Diceros bicornis minor: one gene and its partners. The protein of the gene in region 2 binds, or shares a complex with, the protein of the main gene of each other region. Links are inferred from orthologs where the notes say so. Each region holds a gene or a part of one and is shown on either strand. Other genes may lie near its edges.

The links.
Region 1: the proteins of MAPK8 (region 2) and DUSP16 are in contact, whole or in part, in a crystal structure (PDB 4YR8), measured with the Homo sapiens proteins. The link is inferred for Diceros bicornis minor from reciprocal best matches to the Homo sapiens genes MAPK8 and DUSP16. Residues at the interface, in NP_001310257.1 of Homo sapiens: Arg189, Val196, Ile197, Leu198, Gly199, Asp229, Ile231, Trp234, Gln253, Thr255, Val256, Thr258, Tyr259, Val260, Asn262, Arg263; in NP_085143.1 of Homo sapiens: Phe215, Leu267, Asp268, Tyr271, Lys275, Pro279, Ile281, Ser282, Pro283, Asn284, Phe285, Asn286, Leu288, Gly289, Gln290, Leu292, Asp293.
Region 3: the proteins of MAPK8 (region 2) and ATF2 are in contact, whole or in part, in a crystal structure (PDB 6ZR5), measured with the Homo sapiens proteins. The link is inferred for Diceros bicornis minor from reciprocal best matches to the Homo sapiens genes MAPK8 and ATF2. Residues at the interface, in NP_001310257.1 of Homo sapiens: Asp112, Ala113, Gln117, Val118, Met121, Glu126, Arg127, Tyr130, Leu131, Tyr133, Val159, Lys160, Ser161, Asp162, Cys163, Val323, Trp324, Asp326, Ser328, Glu329; in NP_001243019.1 of Homo sapiens: Phe36, Val44, Lys48, Met51, Thr52, Leu53, Lys54, Phe55, Gly56, Pro57.

What each region holds. Positions count from the first base shown.
Region 1 is NC_080756.1:48,331,574-48,339,398, reverse strand, and holds the start of DUSP16 (dual specificity protein phosphatase 16), read right to left. Parts: upstream 3,255-7,825; 5' UTR 2,800-3,254; intron 1-2,799. UniProt on the Homo sapiens protein: Dual specificity protein phosphatase involved in the inactivation of MAP kinases. Dephosphorylates MAPK10 bound to ARRB2.
Region 2 is NC_080745.1:12,136,732-12,144,049, reverse strand, and holds the start of MAPK8 (mitogen-activated protein kinase 8), read right to left. Parts: upstream 3,048-7,318; 5' UTR 2,966-3,047; intron 1-2,965. UniProt on the Homo sapiens protein: Serine/threonine-protein kinase involved in various processes such as cell proliferation, differentiation, migration, transformation and programmed cell death.
Region 3 is NC_080749.1:55,976,015-55,983,761, forward strand, and holds the start of ATF2 (cyclic AMP-dependent transcription factor ATF-2), read right to left. Parts: upstream 3,255-7,747; 5' UTR 3,121-3,254; intron 1-3,120. UniProt on the Homo sapiens protein: Transcriptional activator which regulates the transcription of various genes, including those involved in anti-apoptosis, cell growth, and DNA damage response.

The DNA of each region.
Region 1 (7,825 bases), on a different chromosome or scaffold from region 2:
AAAAATATAAGATTACCCACAACCCATGAAAATCAGAAAAATTTGACATCTGGCTTTGGAATGTATCATGTGGCTTTGGGCAAGATTTACCTTCTTATGTTTTTGCTTAAGCCAACATTAGTAACATTTTCTTTTATGATGGTAGATATCTGTCTCAGTTTTAAATTTTGATAGTTAATTAAAAAAAAATTAATCAAGTATCAATTGTGGCTTTTCCTATGAAGCCTTTTTAATTAGTTTTTTCAATCTGTTGAACTCTGTCATAAAATCTGGTTTCTGTTTCTCCTGATTTATTTCCTCCCTTTTCTCGGGATTCTGATCCAAATCAGCTTATCCTATATTCATTTACTTCTTCAATTTAAAGTATCATTTGCTTGCGAACGCAAAGCATTTTAAAAACATTAAAAGTCCAGGGAAATTTTTAGTCCAAATAACACAGGATAGAAAACTCCACTTTTTTTAGGACTCCAGGAAAAGTTGGTTTGTAGGATAAATTACACTAGTAATTCTAGCAAATTATATTTAGTAGGATATTACGATTGGTTGAAAAATAGGAAAACATTAATATTGGACAGCCATCTAAGTCAGTTTCATCAATATATAATCCCATAGGCCAAAAACTCTATGGAATTAAATTCCCAGTACAGGCATTTATAGCAAATAGCATCAAAACAAACTCACACATAAATCCTGGCTCTTCTCCTGACCCCAGCCTAAACTCTGCACCCATCACAGCCAACCCTAACCTGACGTCAGCCTCACTTCCACAAATAGGTTTTAAATGTATAAGAAAAAGGAAAAGAACTAGGTTAACAGGATCTTCTCTTTTGCCCCCTTTTCAGTTACTGCCATTAAAGCTTCTGGGCAGAGAGACCCCTTATCTTCAATTTTACATGACTATTTTTACTGTATAGGTACTCCATTATTTTACATCTGAATGTAGGTTTATAGTGCTTGAACCGACTTTTTTCCATACACTATTCATCATATTACCAACAGAATTAAGGATAAACTCACTTTTAATTTTTCCCCCACATGGAACTTTGATAAGTATAAATGATTTTACCTAAAAACCAACTTGTAGGCTGGGTGGTGTTATTTAGTCTAAATTTTTACATAAGATGTTAACCAAATAAAAAAAATCTTAACAGCAACCTTCCACACAGTCCTCAAACTCAGTAAATTCCACTTTATTTTGAAAACACAAAAAACTTGCACAGTGCCCAGTCACATTTTGACTAAAATACCTACACAAAGCCATAATTCTTAGTTTTTCAATTTACTTCTTCAGGTTGCTGCCTTCACCAAATACAAAACTCTACAAGTCTCAATTAATTACCGCCTCTCAAGCTGTGTATCGCCAACATCCATGATTCTCAAGAAAAAGTAAACAATTTAAAAAGTAACAACTGGTGAGAATTCTTTTTCTTATTTTAAAAATTTACCTTAACTTTAAAAAATCTCTTTTCTTCACGGAGTTGGAAATAGTATAAATCCTCGAGGAAACAGTTGTCACCTATGTGCACTCTCAATCAGCCCCATAAAATGCGTAGCAGAAAGACGCATTTTTCTGACAGTCTTAAGTTCCCCAAATAGCAGTCATAAGGTCTTTCATGGATGGTAAATTTCACACACACACACCCCGGAAAGAAAGACAAGAAACATACCTGGTCATTTTCTAAACAGGTTTGATAGGTTTGGTTCACTTGTAAGAGGAGAGTATTTACTTATAATCTTTTAACACAGAAGTAGCAGCCAGAGCACTGGGTAAATAAAAACTTCAGAGAGTTTTAAAAACCCTGCATCTTAACTCACTTCCCCCTGGTTCAAGGGGACGGCACAGCAAACCCCACGGCAAATGAGATTATGCAACAGGTTTTTCCTCTCCCCTTTATTCATCCCAGGCTGGTTGGAGGTGTGCTTACTCCCAACAATTTGAGACACCCAGGACTTGAGGATCTTTGCAGCTGACGTCTAATAAACTTTTTCAGGATTTTGCACTATCCATTCATTTTAAGATCTACTTGTATTTTCTCAAATTAATTACCAGGTTTTTTTTTTTTTTTTTAGGAAATAAACTCAGCCTTTCATAAATACTTTCCTCCCTGGTGTTTTATTACATAAAACTACACATGATAAACAGACGCTCGGCTGTCTCCCCGGGCTTTTTTATTTCTCACGTTGTACGGCTAGTGTAAATAAAGAAGTCACTGGCGCACCGGGCCCCCCAACACCATGCCTGGCCCCAGCATGCAAACCGAGTTTTTGGTTGGTTGGCTGGTTTGGTTTAAGAAAGCAGCACCGTCACCACCCAGGTGGCCTCGCTGCTTACACCAAAGGCGAATTGGGGATAATGGGAACAGTCAGGCCGGGGCCCCACTTGGCAGGAGTGTTGTGTAACAGTCGCGCCTGGAAGTGAGCAGCTTCGCCCGCGAAGGGACCGCGTCCGCGGCGGCGGCTCCTCGCGGCGGGAACCGGCCGCTGGGCCCGCTGTCCGCCGCGCGGCCGGGGGCGCACGGACCGAGACCCCGCGCCCGGCTGCCCGCCCCCTTCCCGCTCGGGCCGGCCCCCAGCAGGGCCTACACCCCCGCCTCAAACGCTCGCGCGGCTCCAGGCCGCGGTCGCCCCCACCCCGCCTTCCGCGGAGGTGAGCCGCCGCCGGGGAAGGCAGAGCCGGCGGGGCGAGCGCGCGGCGCCGGGCACCCGGAGTCGGGCGCGCCGCGGAGCGTCCATGCTGCCGCCGCGAGCCCCGCACCCTCCCGCCCGCACGGTCCGCGCGGCCGGCCCGAGGCCACTTACTTTGGGGGCCGCCGACCTCCCGACGCCGTCTGGGGGAAACGAAAGTTGTCACGGCGTCTCCCCTCGGGCCCCCGCGCCTCCCGGAGTGGCGAGGCGCCGCCGCGGAGCCGGGAGGGAGGCTGCGCTCGCGCTCGCGCCCGCGTCCGTCCCGTCGCGCTCTCCTCCTCCTCCTCTTCTTTTCACTATATTATCTTCTCCTTCTCTGCGAGGTGGGTGGGGGCGGGAGGCTTAGGCAGAGAAGAGACGTTTGCAACTTTTCTTTACTCTTTCTCTTCCACTACCCCCCCATCAGCCTTGAAAAAACAATGTTGAAAGGGGTGAAGAACTTGGGGAGGTGAAGGTGGGGGGCCGCGTGGGGAAAGCGGAGGGGGGAGGGAGAGGTGATAATAATCGTTTAAAAACTGGTGAAAGCCCCCCAAACAGCGATACGCAGAAAGAGGGGGAAAGGCGGGGGGGTGGGGTGGGGGGTTGGGGGGAAAGAGAAAGAGTCGCTGGTCAGGAAACTTCAAGCGCGGATGAGGTCATTGGTTTAAAAATAAAGAGATGGCGTCACTTGAAACCAATCCCAGTGAATGAACTCAGCGGAGCCCCGGGGAAAGGAGGAGACAGGCGAGGGCAGGGCGGTGGGCGCCGGGCGGGGCCGCGCGGCCGCCCGAGCCCCGAGCGCGCCTCCGCGCCTCGTTTGGGCAGCTCGGGGCGGGCTCGGGTCACGTTCCGTTCCAGAGTTCGGCGACTCCGAGGCAGGTTCCGCAGGCGCCGCTGGGAGGAGCCGGGGCTGCCCGGGGAGGCGGCCCCACGGCCTCCTCCTTCCGCGCCCGCGCGCCCGCCGACCCGGGCCCGGGTCCTCGCCCCGGCCGCGCGCCTCCAGCGCTGCGCCCCAACAGGTATTTCAGGGTGCCCCCCACCGAGACGCAGAGCCTTTGCCTCCTCCTTGGGCTGTTGCCAGCTGCCTCCCCAGCGTGAAGAAACGCAAACAATTATTTGAGAGAGTTACAGTCGCTCTTGCAATAGTCTGACGAATCCAAAATGCAGGGCACTGCCATCTCCTAGGAAAGAGGAGTTACAGGTACTTTAAGAAAACTCACACGAGTGCTGTCAGGTATTCAGCCATCTATATGTGTTTGTTGTCGAAAGCCCCCACTTGAATATTCCTAACTTCTATTATTTTACTTTGCATATATTTACAGATTTAATGAGTATGGGCAGCCTAAAATTCTCTTTAAAAATGTTTTCTCCGTCGGGCAGCCCAGAAGCATCTTGAAATCAGACCAGAGGTTCACTGCCTCTTGAGAGGTGCAAGACCCAGTTGATTTAACTCCACACGCTTCGTGCGTTTCTTATTTGGATTCATTAAAACAGCTTTGTTTTGAGACTACATTACACACTCTGGAAACCTAGAGACCTGAGGTGGTGACAAACCAGGACTTGGAATCGCTGAATAGGACAATCAGAGCTTTATTCTAGTGTTCTTTGAGCATTTGAGCATGAAGCTGCTTCTACTGAGAAGTACTCACGTGGATATCACATAACAAAGATGTGATTAATGACGGAAAAGCACACTGTGAGCGGACTGCTCCGTGAGCCAGAATTTATGTGTAGGAATAACCTAGCTCCTAAAATATTCCATTTGCAATGTACTGGATTTGGGACGTTGGTCCCTAACGGCATCTTTGTTGCCGAATGTCCATTTGGACACTGCCTGAGGAACTTTTTTAATTGGCAAAAGAACTGAGAAGCAGGTTTAGGGTAGGTTAGAAAGATAAAAACAGCTCCATGCTTCTTTTCCGCCTTTAAATCCCGCAACGGAAGGGCATTCGTTATTATTGACCATCATTTAAGATTAGTATTGGGGTAAGCCTCTGGGAACTTCCGGCCCATCTTTTGGAGAAGGAGAAAGAGCCCATCTGGAGACCGGAGACTGCTGAGCACTTCAGACTGTAAAAGCAGTCTGAAGGCCATAGATGCAGAGCCGATGTTCTGCGCCTGCCTTTAACCTCTTTAAGACTGCTGAGGAGAAGCAATCTCTCCGGCTGCCCCCTGTCCTCTGGTGGCCAGGGTTGTTACTGCAGCTTCAGTGAGATTTCCTGTGCTCTTCGAGTAAACCTCTAAAATTCTGCTAACCGTGGACCTGCTGTTTTTAGAACAGTTTCTAAGAGGCAGTTGGAAAGGATCTGCATCTCAAATCTGCTTAGTTGGAAGAGTTGCATTTGGCGGGAAGGAAGGAAAAGAGCGAGAACCCTTATCCTAGAGGTTGAGAGCATGGATCTTGCCTGGATGAAAGACTCAGAGAATTATGGCGCACCCTTTACATGCTGCAGCTTAGTAGCCTTACTTTGACACATCTTGACATCTCTCTCCCTTCTCTTCATTTATACAACAATTAAATTGTGCCTTACATGTATGTGGGGCTATGATAGCTATTATGGGAGCCTCCCCAGTGTATATCATCTAATTAGGGAAACAAGACATAGATTAAAACTAATTAAAAACTAAATTAATGATTGATGGCATACAGTACTGGTTAAAAGAGTCCAGCGGATGGGCCGGCCCCGTGGCTTAGCGGTTAAGTGCGTGTGCTCTGCTGCTGGCTGCCCGGGTTGCGATCCCTGGCGAGCACCAACGCACTGCTTCTCTGGCCATGCTGAGGTGGTGTCCCACATACAGCAGCTAGAAGGATGTGCAGCTATGACATACAGCTATCTACTGGGGCTTTGGGGGAAATAAATAAATAAATAAAAGAGCCCAGCAGAGACAAGGAGCATTGTAGGCTGGGGTTGTCAGGGAAGGCATCTTCTCAAGAGCTTTGACCTCCTCCTTGAAGGATAGTTAAGATTTAGTTTGGGGTCAAAGGGCTCAGTGGAAGGACTATTCTAGAGGGGGAATGGCACGAGCAAGGGTATGGAGATGGAATGAATAGGTGTATTCAGGTGAGGGACCAGTAGACCCTTCTAATAGTAGTAGAGATTAGAGTATATCAATTAAGAATTAGGCTAAATTTAAGAGATTTAGAGGCACATTATGGAGTACTTGAATATTAGGATAAATAGCTTGTTACTAGTCCAGCAAGTTAACATTGAACAAGTTTACTTCACTAAAGAGTACATTTCTCCTTGTTCTACTAAAAGACTTTCTCTATATGCTAACAACAAACATGTGGAAACAGATTAAAAATGCAATAAATACCATTTACAGTTGCTCCAAAGAAAATGAAATATTTAGGTGTAAATCTAATAAACCATGCTCAGGATCTGTATGCTGAAAATTATAAAATGCTGATGAAAGAAATTAAAGAAGACAGATAATTGGAGTGACTTACTATATTCATGGATTGGAAGAACCAGTATAGTAAATATGTCACTTCTTCCCAAATTGATCTATAGATTTGACACAATTTCTATCAAAATCCTAGCAAGGTTTTTTGAGGGCATAGACAAGCTTAACCAAAACTACTTCCAGCATGTTTAAAAGGGTGAGTGAGGGCCAGCCCCGTGGCTTAGTGGTTAAGTGAGCGCACTCTGATGCTGGCGGCCGGGGTTCGGATCCCTGGCGCGCACCGACGTACCGCTTCTCCGGCCATGCTGAGGCCGCGTTCCACATACAGCAACTAGAAGGATGTGCAACTATGACATACAACTATCTACTGGGGCTTTGGGGGGAAAATAAATAAATAAAATTATTTAAAAAATAAAAAAATAAAAGGGTGAGTGAGGGCTAGATTCCCCAGAGGCAAAGAGCTCACATACTTAGGGCACCAGCAAACCAGGGGCTCCAGTGTCTTTCAATCGGATAATCTAGAAAGAAGCTCTTTTCGTTTCAGTACATTTGAGTGTATGGTTTAGTATTGTTTTTAGTTAAGTTAAATTTGGGGGAGGAGCACCAAAATTTTTACTTAGAATTAAATATGAAGGAGGAATGCCATAATCTTTAGTGCTTAGAGCTTCTTAAGGTTTTAATCCATCCCTGGCTGAAGTTTAATCATTCATTCAACAATTATTGAGTGCCTACTACCAGTATATAATTATTGAGTGCCTACTACCAGTATATACCTGTGCCTGGCTTTGAGAATGTGGTTATAAATAAGAGACGCAAGGCTGCTTCCTTCGTGGAACTAACATTCTAGTGGGGATTGAAGACAATAAGCAAACAAAATCAACGGCCAGGACTGTGACAGGATTAACTATACAGGGGGAAAACTGGGTGATGTGAGGGCAAATGATTGAGGGTAGGGGGGAAGGAAGGCCTTCATGAGGTGGGGACATGTGAACTGAGGCCTGAAGGATGGCAACCAGAAAAGGGTCTGGGCAGAGGAAACAGGTCACTCTGAGACTCTTCAGCAGAAACAGAGTGACTTGTAGAGAGTTAGTGTGTTCCCAGAGCACAAGGGAGGCTAATGCAGCTCAAAAGTATAACATGCGGGCCACAGGAGCCAGACTATGTAGGACCTTATAATGCGTGGTAAGGAGTTTGCATCCTATTCTAAAAGAGTAAGCAGGTTAGTACATGATCTGATTTATGAGGAGGATATTTGTAAGTAAGCATAATAATTTAGTTTTGAAAAGAGAGTGTTAATAACTTTCTATAAATATTTAATTTAGCAGCTCCCTTTTCCAAGAGGAAGGAAATATTTTTGATCATTTAATCTCCAGGGATCCCTTTACTGTCCCAAATCCAGTGTTCTTAGCCAAGGATTCATGGATTCCTAGGGAGTACATGGATGGGCTTCGGAGGGCGTAGCAGCCCCCTAAAATTTTGTGAATATTTGCCTATGTGTTTTTCTGTGAGTGGATCCCTAGCTTTTAACCGATTTTCAAAAGATTTTCTCACACACACACAAAACGAAGAAGACATTTTATATTTAAGTCTTGGCTGTGCTTTTTGGATCGTAGTTGCTGCTACTGTCCTAGGGCTCATGGCACCATAAAAATGAATCACAGTTCTGGAAAGAAGCAAGTTCTGCCTCAAAGAGGTGACACTATGTTGGAGGAGAGCAGTATTTGTGACGGAGTAGGAGGGAGCATTCCAAAAG
Region 2 (7,318 bases):
TCCACACGTGCAACAAAGAATCTCAACTATCTAGATGACTCAAATTTGTCAAACTCAACTCACTGGCAAAGCAGACCAACAAGAGTCAGGCTTCTATTCAACAACCTCTTAATAACCACTAGGAAAGCTGGTGACCAGATACTTAACAACAAATTACTTCAAGAAGTTTCACTGAGCCTTGAGTATCTTCACAAGGTCAATTCCATAATATTAAACATTGAGAAAATAGTTAAGATTCCAACCTCATTAATTTTGGTAAAATTTATTCTTAAACTAATTTCCTTTCCAAGTGGCCTTTCTCCCAGGATGTAAGGTGGTATGAAGGACATAGTTTCCTACTCTGCCAGGACACTTAAAGGGAGTCCTTTTCAAATTCATTAACGGAATACTATAGTACTTACTAAGAGACTCAGTGCTATCTCTTCCTTTAAATATAATTTAGAGTGGAATGGGGAGTGACCGCTAATGGGTATAGGGCTTCTCCTTGGGGTGATGAAAACGTTCTGGAAAATGGTGATCAATGCATACCTTTGTGAACATATTAAAAACCACTGATGCACAACTAAAAGAGTAAATTTTATGGTATATCAATTACATCTCGATAAAGCTGTTATTTTCAAAAACCAACAGAATTTAGAAAACAAAACAAAAACTCTGGCTTGACATGTAGCCTGACAGTGAGCTACTGCCAAAGGACTTGTATCAGTAACTCCTACTGGAACCTGACATACCTTAATTAACCAGGTAAAGCAATAACAGTTTGGTATCTCAAGATTTTCATCCCTTATTTCAATAAAATATCATTTTCTTATTTATTTGTACTCTACATCAGATAACAAAGAGCTCACCTGAAATTCTCCAAAACACATGTCAAAATTCATTAAGTAGTGAGTAGAAAAGAGATGTAACTTGGATAAATCAAGTTATTATTTATTATTATTTATTAAATAAATCAATTATTTTGAGTTTTAGGCCCATATGCTTCATCAATGGTATGCTTCATCAATAGTATTAGTACAATGAAGAATTTAAAATTAAACATTACCAACAAACATTTCTAAAATGTTATTAGAAATTAAACATTTCTAATAAAACTTTTATGCAACTTGTTTCCTTTGTTCTAGCTTTTCCACTTAAAATACAGGAGTCATCAGAAACTTTTCAATTAATATTCACAAAAGGATAAATGCAATCATTTTAGACCCCTACTGAAATATCACTGTGTGTCTGTGTGCAAGATATATATGTATATGAATGCTATATATACATCGCACACAGATACACACATATTAAAAAAATTTTTTAGACAAGGTTTTATTTTAGGATTTAAAAGTATAGAATAGAAAAAAAAAAAATTGATACTGAAATGATTCAAAAGCCCCTACTGTCGTGACAGATAATACATATGAACTGATCATTTAGCCATCTGGAAGTAACAGTTTGCACAAGGCTTCCAAAACTTTACAGAGAACGTTAAACTTTTTTTTAAGGCTTGATTTGAAATACTATCAGTTGTAAAGAGCTTTACATTAACCTGACTTTTATTGAACACTTACTACATATCCAGGCTAGGTGCTGGAGGAGACACAGACGCAAGACAGGCCTGTCCTCAAGGAAGTCCCATTTTGATGGCTTGCTTTTGTCAGGCACAGCACTAAACATGTTCACTTACAGCATCTGACCTCCTAGGCTTAACCCACAGCAGGGGAATCTGAGGTAAACGTTACAAATCACTGTAAGGCTGTAAGACTGAAAAATTAAATTCGCAAATAAATAAAAGCTGTTGTACATTTAGACCAAATCTAACTCTACTTCCTAATATAACATTACACTATAAGTTCCAGATGTACTACTAAAAAATACTAAAATGACCCAGAGTATAACTATACCTTTTTTAACACACATCACTTACATAACCGTCTCATTTAAAGGCACATCTATTATATTTCAGTCAAAGCATCCTCTTCCACTAAAGGATATTTCTTTTTATCTTCAAACTCTCCATCTGAGTACAGTACGTACTGAACAGTTGCTGAATGAATGAATGAAATGATGTTCTAATTGCCGAGGAGGTATTTGCTGGATGCTCATCTCAAAACACAATGGACTGACACACCAGAATTCTACTGTAACGATTACTGAATTTCAGAGGTAAAAACAGTAACCACCGAACATCGTCTGATACCACGCAGTCAACATGTTACCAAGTTCACAGTAAACATCTGATAGAGAACTTGCAGAAATTAAAATTAAAAGTGTTCATCGCAATACTTTAAAACGGACTTGGTTCTACCACCTAAGGATTGGGAACACAAATGCAAGACAAAGAGGTCGGAGGGTGGGGTGAAAAAGTCAAAAGGTCACCACCGAGCGACCGTCCAGAGAAACGCCCGCTGACCACTGAAGCTCGCGCCGAGCTTGACGGCCACCCTTCGCCCCAGCCCCAGGCCCCGCTCTCCCTCGCAGCCCAGAGCTGAAGGCCACCCCAACCTTGTTCCGCGCCGCTGCTACGTTCGCTCAGAACGTCAGCACAAAGAAACCACCGGGAAACAAAACACGGTCCCCGTGGGCGCCGGGACCGGGCCACCGCCGCGGGAGGCACTAGGGCGCGGCGGGACGCCCCGGCGCCTCCGCCGAAGTACTTCCGAACTTGCCACCCACCCCCGCTCCCTTCTCGCCTCCCGACGCGGGCGCGGGACCCGCACAAGCAGGGCGCGCGAGGACCGGCGGGCGGAGCTGCGCGGCGGGCCAGGGTCCCGCAGCCCCACGCCCCCCGCCGGCTGCCGCCTCCCGGGCCGCTATTGTTCGCGCGCCGCCCCCGCCCCGCGCGCCCCCCGCCCCGCGCGCTCCCGCCCCCACCACGGGAGGGGGGCACCGCTGGGGAGAAGGCGGCAGCCGCGGCACAATAACATAAACACGGCGGGGCCGCGGGCCGCCAAGGCCCTACGACGGCCGCCGCACTCACCAGGCAGCGCAGCGAACGGCGACAGGAGAGCCCGCCGGCGGGCACCGGCGCCGTCCGGGCGGTCGCCGCGGCCGTTACCCAGCGCCGCTGGCCGCTCCGCGATCCGGGCCGCGTCGTCCGGCCTCGGCCGCTCCGCTGAGTAACAGGGACGCGGGCCGTCACCGCGCACGCCCGCCCACGTCATCGCGCAGGGCGCCGCCCCCACGCCTCGCGAGCGGCCCGCCGGGCGGGGCGGCCCCGGGGCCCGGATTGCGGGGCGGGGCTACTCTGGGGGCCGGGAGGACTGGCGGAGGTCGCCCGGAGGCGGAGCTGCGGAGAGAGCCTCTGAGGGCGGCGTGTGAGGGGCGTGGCGGGGAGCCGGAGGGGGCGGCGCCCTGCTCCCGGCACGTGGCGGCGCGTGGCCAGAGTGCCCGGCGGCTGGCCCGGGGCGGTCCGCTAGTAGGAGCCAATACCTCAGGGGCTCCTCGCCCCGGGGTTTGCAGGTGAGGTGCGCTTAGACCAAACTTGCTCGGAGGAGCAGACTTCCCGGCCCCGGGCGCACACCTGAGGGACGAAGAGCTCATTACCTTGACCAACAGTGTGGTGCATTCCGAAGACACCTGCGCAGGGCCCAGCAACCCACAAGCAAATAAATGTTCCCTTCAACCAGCTGGAAAAAGCTGCCTCTTGTTTTCCCAAAATCCACCTCTGGTGCAACCCACAAGCAAATAAATGTTCCCTTCAACCAGCTGGAAAAAGCTGCCTCTTGTTTTCCCAAAATCCACCTCCTACCAGATTCCATGCATTACGCTATTTCTGGACCCCACAAAGCGTGTAGATGTTGTTATAGAAGTGACACATTGGCAAGCCCTTAAATATCCAGCAATGAGTGGAAGGGTGTCTAAACTACATACATCTTGGCAATAGAATACATTTTAGCTATTTAAATGCCATGTGTTGGAGGAATTCTTAACAACAAGAGAAAATGTTCATAATACATCATTAAGAAAAAGAAGCAAGTCTATATATAGAGAGAATGATCCTACTTATATACTATATATACATAGAAAAAACCTGGAAAGAAATATGCCAAATTATTTTAACCATAGTTCATCATTAGACTGTGGAATGAAACGTAAATTGGTTCTCTTTTATCCTTTGGGTATTTTTCCATGGGTTCCAAATGGAACAGTTATGTTCATAATCAGAAAAATGTACATTACTTTAATAATGAATCAATAAATATTTATTGAATAAATGAGTGAATTCAGGTAGACTATCTTCCCATGTCATGTTGGGTTGGCCTATTTCCAGTCATTCTGAAATGGAACGCAAATGTGAGCATTCATTCATTCATTCTCTCCTCATTCCCTCCCTCCCTCTCAGGCTTCTTTATTTCCTTCCTTCCTTCCTTTATTTCTCCAATAAGTATTTATTGCATGCATTCTGTGCCAGGCACTGTGCTAGCACTGATAATAATATGATGAAGCTTACAGACTTAATCACTTTAATTTGGAAATAGTAACAGTAAACAAATGCAAAGTGATCACCTCATTATAATACAAATTGATATGGCTACACAGTATTATGAAACCAATTGATAGAATTAATAAAGCCAGGAAAGGCTTTCTTGAGGAACTGCCTCTTGAACTGAGAATAGATTTAACTAGGCAGAAAATATTTCAGACAGAAGTAACTTAGTGGGCAAGGGTCTTGTGGTGAGAGGGAGCAGGGTGAGTTGGAGAAATTGAGGAAAAGCCAGTGCTGCTGGAAGATCAAGGAAGAAGGAGCTATGAGATGAAGTTGGGAAGACTGGAAAGGGACCAAACCTAGTGCAGCCATACTACCCATGTTGAAAATCTTGTCTTTATCCTAAGTGCAATGGGAAGACCCTGACATGCTTCAGCAAAGGGGGTGGCATGGTCAGAATGGCATCTTGAAGATTCCATATTGGCAGGAGGCCAGGTGGATGTAGTAGTCTAGATAACAGATGGTAGAGGTTTGGTCTATGGTAATAGTCATGAAAACAGTAAGAGGAAAGATCTGAAGACCATTTAGGAGATCCAAAGCACAGAAGTTGATGATGGGCTATGTGGGCAGTGAAGGAAAGAGAGATATCAAGGAAAGCTCACAGGTTTCTGGCTTGCGGCCAAGGATAGATGTTGGTGCTGGTTCAGAGATGGGAATCTTGGAGGAGGACAAAGCTTGAGTGGAAAGATGGTGAGAGCAGGTAGTTTGAAGGCTTTTGATCTGCCCAAAAGAGATGCCAAGTTGGCATTTAGAGATACAGAGCTGGGCTCAGGTAGATAAGAGATGAATCATCGACAGATAATGATGACTTGAAGTCTTGGGTATGGATGAGTTAGCCTAGGCCTGAGGGAAAGAGGGTAGTGGGCAAGAACAGAAGACAGCCAGGAACCAAGCTTGAGGAACTTCAGCATTAAATGGCCATGAAGAGGATGAGCCTGCCAATGACCTGCCAGGGAGGTAGAAGGAAACAGGGATTCAAGAAGAAAGGAGTGATCAATAATATCAAATATAAGAGGAAGCTTGAAATCCTGGAGTAGTTAAAGCCAGAAGTGAATTAGAGTGGGCTGAGGAATAAACAAGAGATGAGAAAATGGAGGTGGTGGATAACTAGGAGTCAGGCAGCGAAGAAAGAGACAAGCCTATTTTACATCTGGTAGGAAGACTGTTGAGAGGGAGAGGTAGAATAGAAGGAATAAACATGAGTGTAAGTTTCCTGGGAGAGCGGGGTGGGGGTGTGATTGGGCACACAGGTGGAAGTATTGGCAGGTACCTCCCAGTCCCCACCAGGCAAATTAAAGACCTGGAGGTAACAAAAGACGATATGCTCAGAGCTGTTGTAAAATAAGAGGTGTTGCCAGAACAGAGCTCCAGAGTTTCCTGCCCAGGTCTGTAATACTATCAACAGCCTCTCTTTCATTCAACAGGAAGAACTTCTGATTTATTAGCTTCAGTTTACCGCTGTCAGCTTCCAATGATCTATACCTGGAAGGGACATCCCGTGTGTTTAAATATGTACATATGCGTGTGTGTGATTTCAGACAGCATTTCACTATTTGTGATTGAATGTAATCATCTCTGATATTCTACAAATTCAAAATGTTTTTTGTAACCCAGATGTGGCTCAGGGCCTCCTTCTTCCTTCTCACAGCGTTTTGCTTGTTACCCTATCGTGGTTCCCTGTGAACCTATTGGGGGCTGACTCAGAAAAGGAGGAAGAGCTAAGGAATTCAGGTTTATTGCCTCTTGTCCCAGGGGAGTTGTCTTGGGGACAGCTGGTCCTTGGGTCTCTCTGAGGCTGGGATGGGGGAAAGAGAGAAAGGGAGGCTGCAGGCCCCTTAAATCCAGTCTCTGCTGGAACCCTGAGAAATGGTGAGGAAGAGCTTGCACCCTGTCCAGAGTACCTCTTTCCTTGTCATCCTCCCCAGACCACATACACACACTGGTTTGCTTTGGGGTTGGGCCTTTGGCTAAGGTGTCAGTTGGACCTCACCAAGCTGTTCAAGGGTACAGAAACCGAAAGTTGAGACTTGATCTCACTTCCTAATTCCCTGACCTCACACTCCAGGTGTGGGGAGTCAGGGAGAGGGGGCTTACTGTAAGGCCTGCAGAAGGGCATCTCCGAAGACACACCCTCTCTCCTGACCCCATCTCCGCCAGAGCCCTTCTTCTTTAGCCTCGCTTTCAAGCCACCCAGTTTGGTTTCCCAACCAGGCCCCTGGTCAAGTCACCCCTCCCACCATAGGAAGAAGAGGTTCAGAAACTCAGTCAGTCACTCCCTGACTCTAGGATGCTCTTTGAGGCTCTTTCAGGGTAGAGCCTGTGGGCTCCAGAGGGAGTGGCTCAGGCTCTGGTTGCATGAGTAGAGGAAAGATGAGTGTTCATATTGCAAACTGATGTCTCCAACTGCAAGAACTATGACATTTCCTCAGGGGTAGAACATGACCAAAAATGACCAGAGTTCCTCAGTCACAACTTGAACAAAACAAAGTAGAGAGAGAGGTGGGTGGTACACTAATTTGAATTTACAAGTAGTACCCCCCTCTTTGCTTGGGCTTCCTCCTTTCCTTCGCTCTCCTATGCACACATCGCTTCTAGGTGCATGAAGAGAGACAACCCAGCTATTCAAGCCTATAGATTGAGTACACACGCATGTTCTCATGAAAAAAATGGTCAGCATTTATTCTTCTAAGACGGTGGTTCTCAAATTGTGGTCCCCAGAACAACAACATCAGCATCATTTGGGAATTGATTGGCAATGCAAATTCTCAGACTCACTTCAGACATGCTGAATTGGCAGCCCTGAGGGAAGGGCCCAACAATCTGTGTTTTAATGAGCCCTCCAAG
Region 3 (7,747 bases), on a different chromosome or scaffold from region 2:
GCAAAATACAGTTGGTATTTTGCCAACAGGCTCTTGCCAATTATAATCATTCCCACCCTGTCTTTCCCAACTAATCTTTCTAAGAGTCTCTGTGGTAATAAGCTTCTACTACTGTTGGGAGTGTTTTCTATTCCTTAGGTATTAAGACAGAAAAAATGGTTGAGAACCACTATCTTTGTTAAGATACAGAATGCAGACATGGGTGAACAGGCCTAGCCCCAAAAGCATTCTGTTTGTTTACATCACTTCTTGTTGCAAAAAATGTTTTTAGTCACTTTACTACCACTGCCAAAATGCCAAGAAGAAGAAAAAAAAAGCATCACTAGACATAGTACATAAAAGGTAAATGAATATACCAGTTTTGAGGTTATTAAAAAGAATAAATGAAAATAACATATTTAACAAATGCCTGTATCTATAATTATATAATTACAATAACATATATTTATAATAATATATGTAAAGTAATTCCAATTATTGTTGGCCTTAAAGATCCACAAACTTTCTTAAATTTCTATGAAACTATACCTTACTCTAACTTTGTAACCTTGAACTTAAAAAACAGAACAAAAGAGATAAAATGTTTCATGGGGTTTTCCCCTAGATATAAATAGGTGAATACTATCACTAGTACCTCATCATTAACAATTTAGAGAGAATTAAAGAGAACATGCAGCAATTTAGATACATTCTTAGCCTCAAGGAATAGGTGTGAGTATATGATAAACACAGAAATACTAAGTTAAACTACTGACTATAATAATGCACATTTTTTTACAGTACATTTTAATTACACAGAATAGCATAACAAGTACTGTATGTACTGATTTTTATAAGGATTAGTTGAATATCCAATTATTATTATTCCCTGGGTTTTAAACAAGAGACTTTCTGGGGAAAATTTGGTTTTAAATAGGGAGATTTCAACTACTTTTTCTTCTCTAAGGACATTACAATAAGAATATTAAAGAGAAAGAATTGCTTACAGACATATTTCATATTGGAAGGAAGAGCTTGAAGACAAAATGAGTGGAAATAGCATGTATGGGGGACTGTTTACCTGATCTACATTTAATTCACCAGCAGAGAACATATAAATCATTAAAACCCAACTTTTCCAAAATACAAAAATTTAGGCAGAAAAAATGTAGATGATTTCTTGAGAGTTAATGCTAGTTATAGGTAGATGTTTGATGTACAGCATATCATTTTTTTAAATGATATTCATATAGCTTTCAAATCCTGAATAGCAACAAAAAGCATACCTCCAAATTATTTGTTAAAGAGCTGACATGATCATTTCTACTGTTATCTTAGTTTAAAAATATGAAACAAATACTCTAAGTAAAAAAAGTAAATTCAGGAATTTCTGAATTATATATTTAATAGATAATGATAATGCCCCAAATATGAAATACACCTTCTAATAAGGTATTTAAAAAAGAACTTCCAGGAAATGCAATCAGATCCTCACCAGGAATTATCTACCTTAAAAACACACCTACAAAAGTCCCTGAAAGCTCCTGTCCTACTAATTAAAATACAAACCCTACTTTCTAAATTACCACAATATTATACTTCAAATAATTAAAAACCTAATGGTAGTCGCATCCTCTCAAAGCAAGATTAAACATGTCTTAGGCATGCAGCATACACACCACTGTAAATTTGGAAGATTCTTATAAGTCACAAAGACTAGGATTCTTAATTGTTACTCATTTATTGACGGCCTTAAAGATTCACGAACTTCCTTAATTCTCTTTCTTGATCTGCAGAAGGACATCTCTATTTTTTGAGCATACTTTACAACTATGTGCCTGCAGTTTTGAAAAAAGTGTTCAGAGTGGATTCCTCAAATCAGTATAACAAATTTTATTACAAGATATAACTGCTACTGTCTGTGTCCTTCAGGACACTTAACCCTGTAGGGCTATTTAACAAGCTTCTCGCCTTCATAGTTTTGGTACAACAGACCAAGGATAAATAGCTATTTAAAGATTACACCTAGAAACGCTATTACTGACAATGCCGGCGGTTATGAATTTCTTCAAATGGGACAAAAAAGTGTGCTTATTTCAAATATATACATTAAGTTTATGCACTGCTACCGTCTCCATTATTTAAAATTCCTAAGAAACTGTTAACTTTCACATTTTAATTGAGGAATTAGTCAGTAGGCCTAGGGTCCATCAGGAGTACTCCCTTTTACTCCATCACATTCACAGTAGTTTTGATCTTGGCCTCACCAGTTTTAAGACTCCTTAAGCAAAGACAATTTCATACTACCTAAGGGCACAAAAACAGTTCCCATCTCCTCCGCCCTCTCCCTCCTTCTAGCGTCGGTTCCACGAGCGAATATAGATCTCTGTCCCTCTCTCTGCTCTGGTCCCTACAACTAGCTCTGCAGTCCACCCAGGAAGGTAAAAGAATGGGGGAAAATACTAGAATCAATCTGCACCCACACCTCAGCCCCGCCCACGGGGATAAAGCGGGGGTGGCGGGAGTGTGAGGGGGCAGAAAGGACAGAAAAGGCCGAGAGTTCTCCATACCATTTGTTCCATCACGTTTCACCGCAGCCAGAGACCCTGACCCTATTTCCAGCCGCGCCTCCGGATCCTCCTCCCCGCCACCATCACACACACACACAGTCCCCAACGTCTGAGTCCTGGGTGCGGAGACCAGAGCCGGCCCTCTTCCTGCTCAATCCAAGGACTGCAGAGAGGGTCTCCCTGCGCCCTCGGCGCATCGACGTGTGCCCTAGGGACCTCTGAACTGACCGGAGAAGGGGAAGATCAATCGGGAGGAGGGGTCTAAGAGGAGCCGTTATTCCCCTTTCCTCTTCGTTAGGAAAGCGCGCGAGCGGGGAGGGGCCGGAACAACGAACGCGTTACCTAACGGTCCGGCCCGGCCAGTCGGGCTCCTGAAGGCGACGCCGCGCCGGCCGCTGAAGTGCCAGCTCAGCCACAGTCGCCTCGAGGGTTAGGCACCGAAGCAGGCGCGCCCGAGGTGATAGGAAGCGGGGGGTGGGGACTATGGTGAGCGACGTCGCCATGTTAGTGCCTTCTTTCTCTGTATCCCTACGGTCTCCAGTCCTGCGGCGCACTCCCCATGACTACTCACCTCTCTAGGTCACTAGTTCATGCTTCTTTCGGTCACCGGCGAGGCCCGAGCTCAGCCGTGTTTACAAACTACCCGTGGAGGAAAGGCTGAACCGCACTTTAAAGGCCACGGGCTCCCACAGGCTTCCGTCCTCTCTCGCGAGATCGGACTGACACCTCCTTCTCCCCGCCCCACTCCCGGCATCCCCCCTTTCTTCTCGAGTCCCTGCCCTCCACGCACACGCCGCTTCTTGTCTTACTTCAGACGAAGCGCCTCCGGGTCAAGCGAGTCCGTCAGGTTTAAAGGAGGGGGCGGGATTTCAAGGGGGCGGGGCTGAGGGGGCGGGAACCAAAGAACACTCGGTGCTGGTGATTGGACAACAGCTCGAAGGGCGGGAAGCAGTTCTGGAGGGGGCGGGACCAGAGCGCCTTGGTCCTCCGTAACCAAGGACCTGCGGAAGCCTGTGATTGGCAGCCGCTTGAGGCGGGCGCTGGAGCAGGTGGATGTTGAGGTCGCCGGAAGGGCCTGACGGTGTGCGGGAAGGGAAAGTGAACTCTAGGAATGCTGCTAGTGGCGGGAGAGAAAACGGGACGAGTCCTCCGAGTCCCTCCCCGGGAGCTCGGTATTTCCATTGCTGTCACGTCCCGGCCCTTGTAGGAAGCCGGGTAAAGCGTAGGGAGGCGCGCGCCTAAACCCGTCTTCTGGCTACCCTGCAGCCCGAGAAGGGGAGCTTCGGTTAAGCTGAGGTTTGGAAGAGGCGGAGTTTACCGGAAATTATCCCCCAACCCCCGCTACACGCCCAAAGCGGGAAAGCAAGATAAGTCAGTTCTGAAAAGAAAAGAAAAAGCCATTACTCTGAATGGCATTTGTTCGAATTTTTCTAAACTGTAACGGGACTGATTCTTCCGGCTTCTAAACGCCTAGTACCGTGTATGATATTAGCATATAGTTATGTTCTAAGTAACTTACCAAAAGGAAATACAGTGACTTCCACTAGATTACTGTAATTTAAAATAGCGCAAGGCTTGTTTTTAAGAGAAAAATCTTCCATATTATGGTGAATCCTATTTTATCAATTTTCGTTTACTTAGTAGTTATACATTTAAAAATATCAATTTTAGTAGAGATAGTTTCAAACCTTTAAAACATCCACAACTCTGTATTAACATTTTAGAGAGGACCAAAGGACACCAAATTAGACTATGGCATAGAAATGGCACTCTTTCCACAATATAATGCCAATGAAATGTCTGTGAAGCTTTGAAAGTAGCTCTTTGAAAAAAGAAGGAGGGGGGAGTTTATTTGGTTAATTTAACCTGAGGGACAAAAAAGACCATATTTACTACTCTGCAGTTGACATAGAGACACTCCTAAAAACACAGAAAGAAGTACATTGCTGAAAATGTTTCTTCTTAATGTTGCTCTACGATTCTCTATACAACTTAAAGATTTCAGTGTTAAGTGTAGGGATATTGCTTTTTCAATAAATACACACTGGCACAAGTTGAAAAGTATGATCAGGAGCCTCTGTGGAAATTTGCATTAACTATTAAAAAAAAGGCAAGTTGGGCCAGCCCCAGTGGCATAGTAGTTAAGTTCAGCATGCTCCACTTCGGTGGCCCAGGTTCGGTTCCCGGGTGTGGACATTTACGGCTCTGTTAGTGGCCATGCTATGCTGGCGGCCCACATACTAAAAAATAGAGGAATATTGGCACAAATTTTAGCTGAGGCTGAATCTTCCTCAGCCAAAAAAAAAGCAAACTTTTTTCAATGCCTTGTTTTTCCGTTTATTAAGTGCTGATTTCTAGTCTATAACAAGATTATGAATAAATTTTGTATATTAACATAAAATGAACTCTCAAACATTATCTCCAAACCATGGTGAAACTGAAATTATTGGAAGATTGTGGGGGATAGTATTTGAGAGTTAATGAACCTGCAGTTCAATAATGGTATCTGGCATAAAAATGAAATTGTAATAGCACTGGACGTTTTAACAGGTTTCTGGCCTGTATACATGTATGTGAGCCAACTCACACCTCTTTTAAAACTAATTTCGTTACTCAAGAGACCTGAAAGAAGCCAAATATTAGCTCTGTTTACTTCTCAAATTAGAATGAAAGTACTATCCCTATATATTAGTAAAGCTGTAGTAGTGCTTAGTGTAGTGTAGCACTAATTATTTAGCACTAATTATTAAAACCTCAGCAGCTCAGATTACTGATGATGAACATGATGATGGACAAAATGTGCGATTGACAGATCACAAAATTGTTAGGTCTAGAATGCATTCCCTAAAATGGTGCTTCTCTCCATCCCCCAAAATGTCTACTGTGAGATGAAGAACTATAAATGTTATGGCATTTAAAATTAGAGTAGATTTTTAAAACTAATTATTTTCCATTCTCTTATGTCAAAAATTTGAAAGTCTTTTCTCCAGTTTTGGTTCATTTTCAGTTGGCAGTTGGTCTGGTTTTTAATTTCTCCTCCTCGTCCCTTCTTCTCCAGTCTGTTGTCAAGTATGCTGTTAATTATCTACATAATGCTCTAGAGGAATATGTTATTTTAAAGAAAGTCTTGGGCCGGCCCCTTGGCTTAGCGGTTAAGTGCGCACGCTCCACTGTTGGCAGCCCGGGTTCGGATCCCGGGCGTGCACCGACGCACCGCTTCTCCAGCCATGCTGAGGCCGTGTCCCACATACAGCAACTAGAAGGATGTGCAACTATGACATACAACTATCTACTGGGGCTTTGGGGGAAAAAAAATAACTAAATAAAATTATAAAAAAAAAATAAAGAAAGTCTTTCAGGAATCCTTTTAGATGAGAGAAGAATCATTTAGTAATACAAATAGTACTCTGTTGTGAGAATGCAATTTTGGCTAATTTTCTAAAGAGATGGTATACCTAAAATAAGAAAATATAAAGGAGATTAGGGGAAAAAACAGGTGGAGAGGAAGCAAATCTGTTATATATGCATGTCGGCAGCCTGTCAGTTAGCAGAGGTCCTGACTTTATCTACATATTTCTAGTTCCACAACAGTTCCTTTACTGTAGCTTTTCTCAAATGAAGAAAACATTCAGTGTAAACAAAATGAATATAGTTACTATTTTCAGTTCTGATCCTGTGAACTTGTAAGTCTCACTATTTATCCACATCTCATAAAAGGCTTTGCTTTTCAGTTTTTTCCCCTTGCTTCCAAATTCCTCAATATCCCCAACAGCCCTAAGATTCTCTAGAATCTTCTCTTTCAAAATGCAGGAAACTTCTTCCAGACCGCTTCTTTGCCTGTCTTATTGTTCCAAACATGCATCTACCCAACATTTGTTGTTAGTGCCATTGAGTTGATTCCGACTCCTAGTGACCCCATGTACAGCAGAGCAGAACCCTGCCCAGTCTTTTTGCGCCATCCTCTCACCTTCTGGCACTTTATCAGACAATGCTCTGCTGCTATTCATAGGGTTTTTGTGGCCAATTTTTTCAGATGTGGGTGGCCACATTCTGCTTCCTAGTCTGTCTTAATCTGGAAGCTTCACTGAAACCTATCCACCATGGTATTTGAAATCCCGGTGGCATAGCTTTCAGCATCACGACAACATGCAGCCACCCCAGTATGACAACTGACAGACAGGTGTTGTGGTTCCCTGACTCGTAAATGAACCCGGAGCCTTGGCAGTGAGAGGGCCGAATCTTAACCACTAGACCACGACGGCTGGCTCTACTCAACTTACTCCTAGGAAAATTAGTGAGGATCTGGTGAACCTCCTTTAAGAACCCAGCATGACTTCTGAATAAAACTGGTATTCCTTAGATATAAGAGGCTATTTGAAGAAAACTCATTTCTATTGAAAAAGTATCCATTACCAAATACTACAAGAAACTATAGTGGCCTCTAAATGCTCTCAAACCTTCCAAATGCCACAGAATGTGGCATTTCCACTTTATTTAGAAGTACTATGTGATTGTTAATCCATCAATCTGTTATTGCTCATAAAAAGTCTACTTAGCAGCGTCTGTGGAAAACACTATGGAGATATCTCAAAAAATTAAAAATAGAAATACCTTATGATCCAGCTATCCCACTTCCGGGTATTTATCCAAAGAACTTGAAATCAATAATCCAAAGAGGCTTATGCACCCCTATGTTCATTGCAGCATTATTCACTATAGCCAAAATGTGGAAGCAACCCAAGTGTCTGTCAACAGATGATTGGATAAAGAAGATGTGGTATATATTTACAATGGAATAGTACTCAGCCATAAAAAAAGACAAAATTTTCCCATTTGTAACAACATGGATGGACCTGGAGGGTATTATGTTAAGTGAAATAAGCCAAACAGAGAAAGACAAACACTGTATGACCTCTCTCATATATGGAATATAAACTAACACATGGACAGAGAGAATAGTTTGGTGGTTACCAGGGGGAAGGGAGTTGGGGGGTGGGCACAAGGGGTGAAGGGGCGCATTTATATGGTGACTGACATAATAATGTACAACTGGAATCTCACAATGTTATAAACTATTATGGCATCAATTAAAAAAAGTGCTTAAACGCTGTGCAAATGTATATATAGAAAAATGGAGTGAAAAGGGAAGATTTAATATATAAGACATAGCTTCTGTTTGTCTGTAGCTAAACAAAACA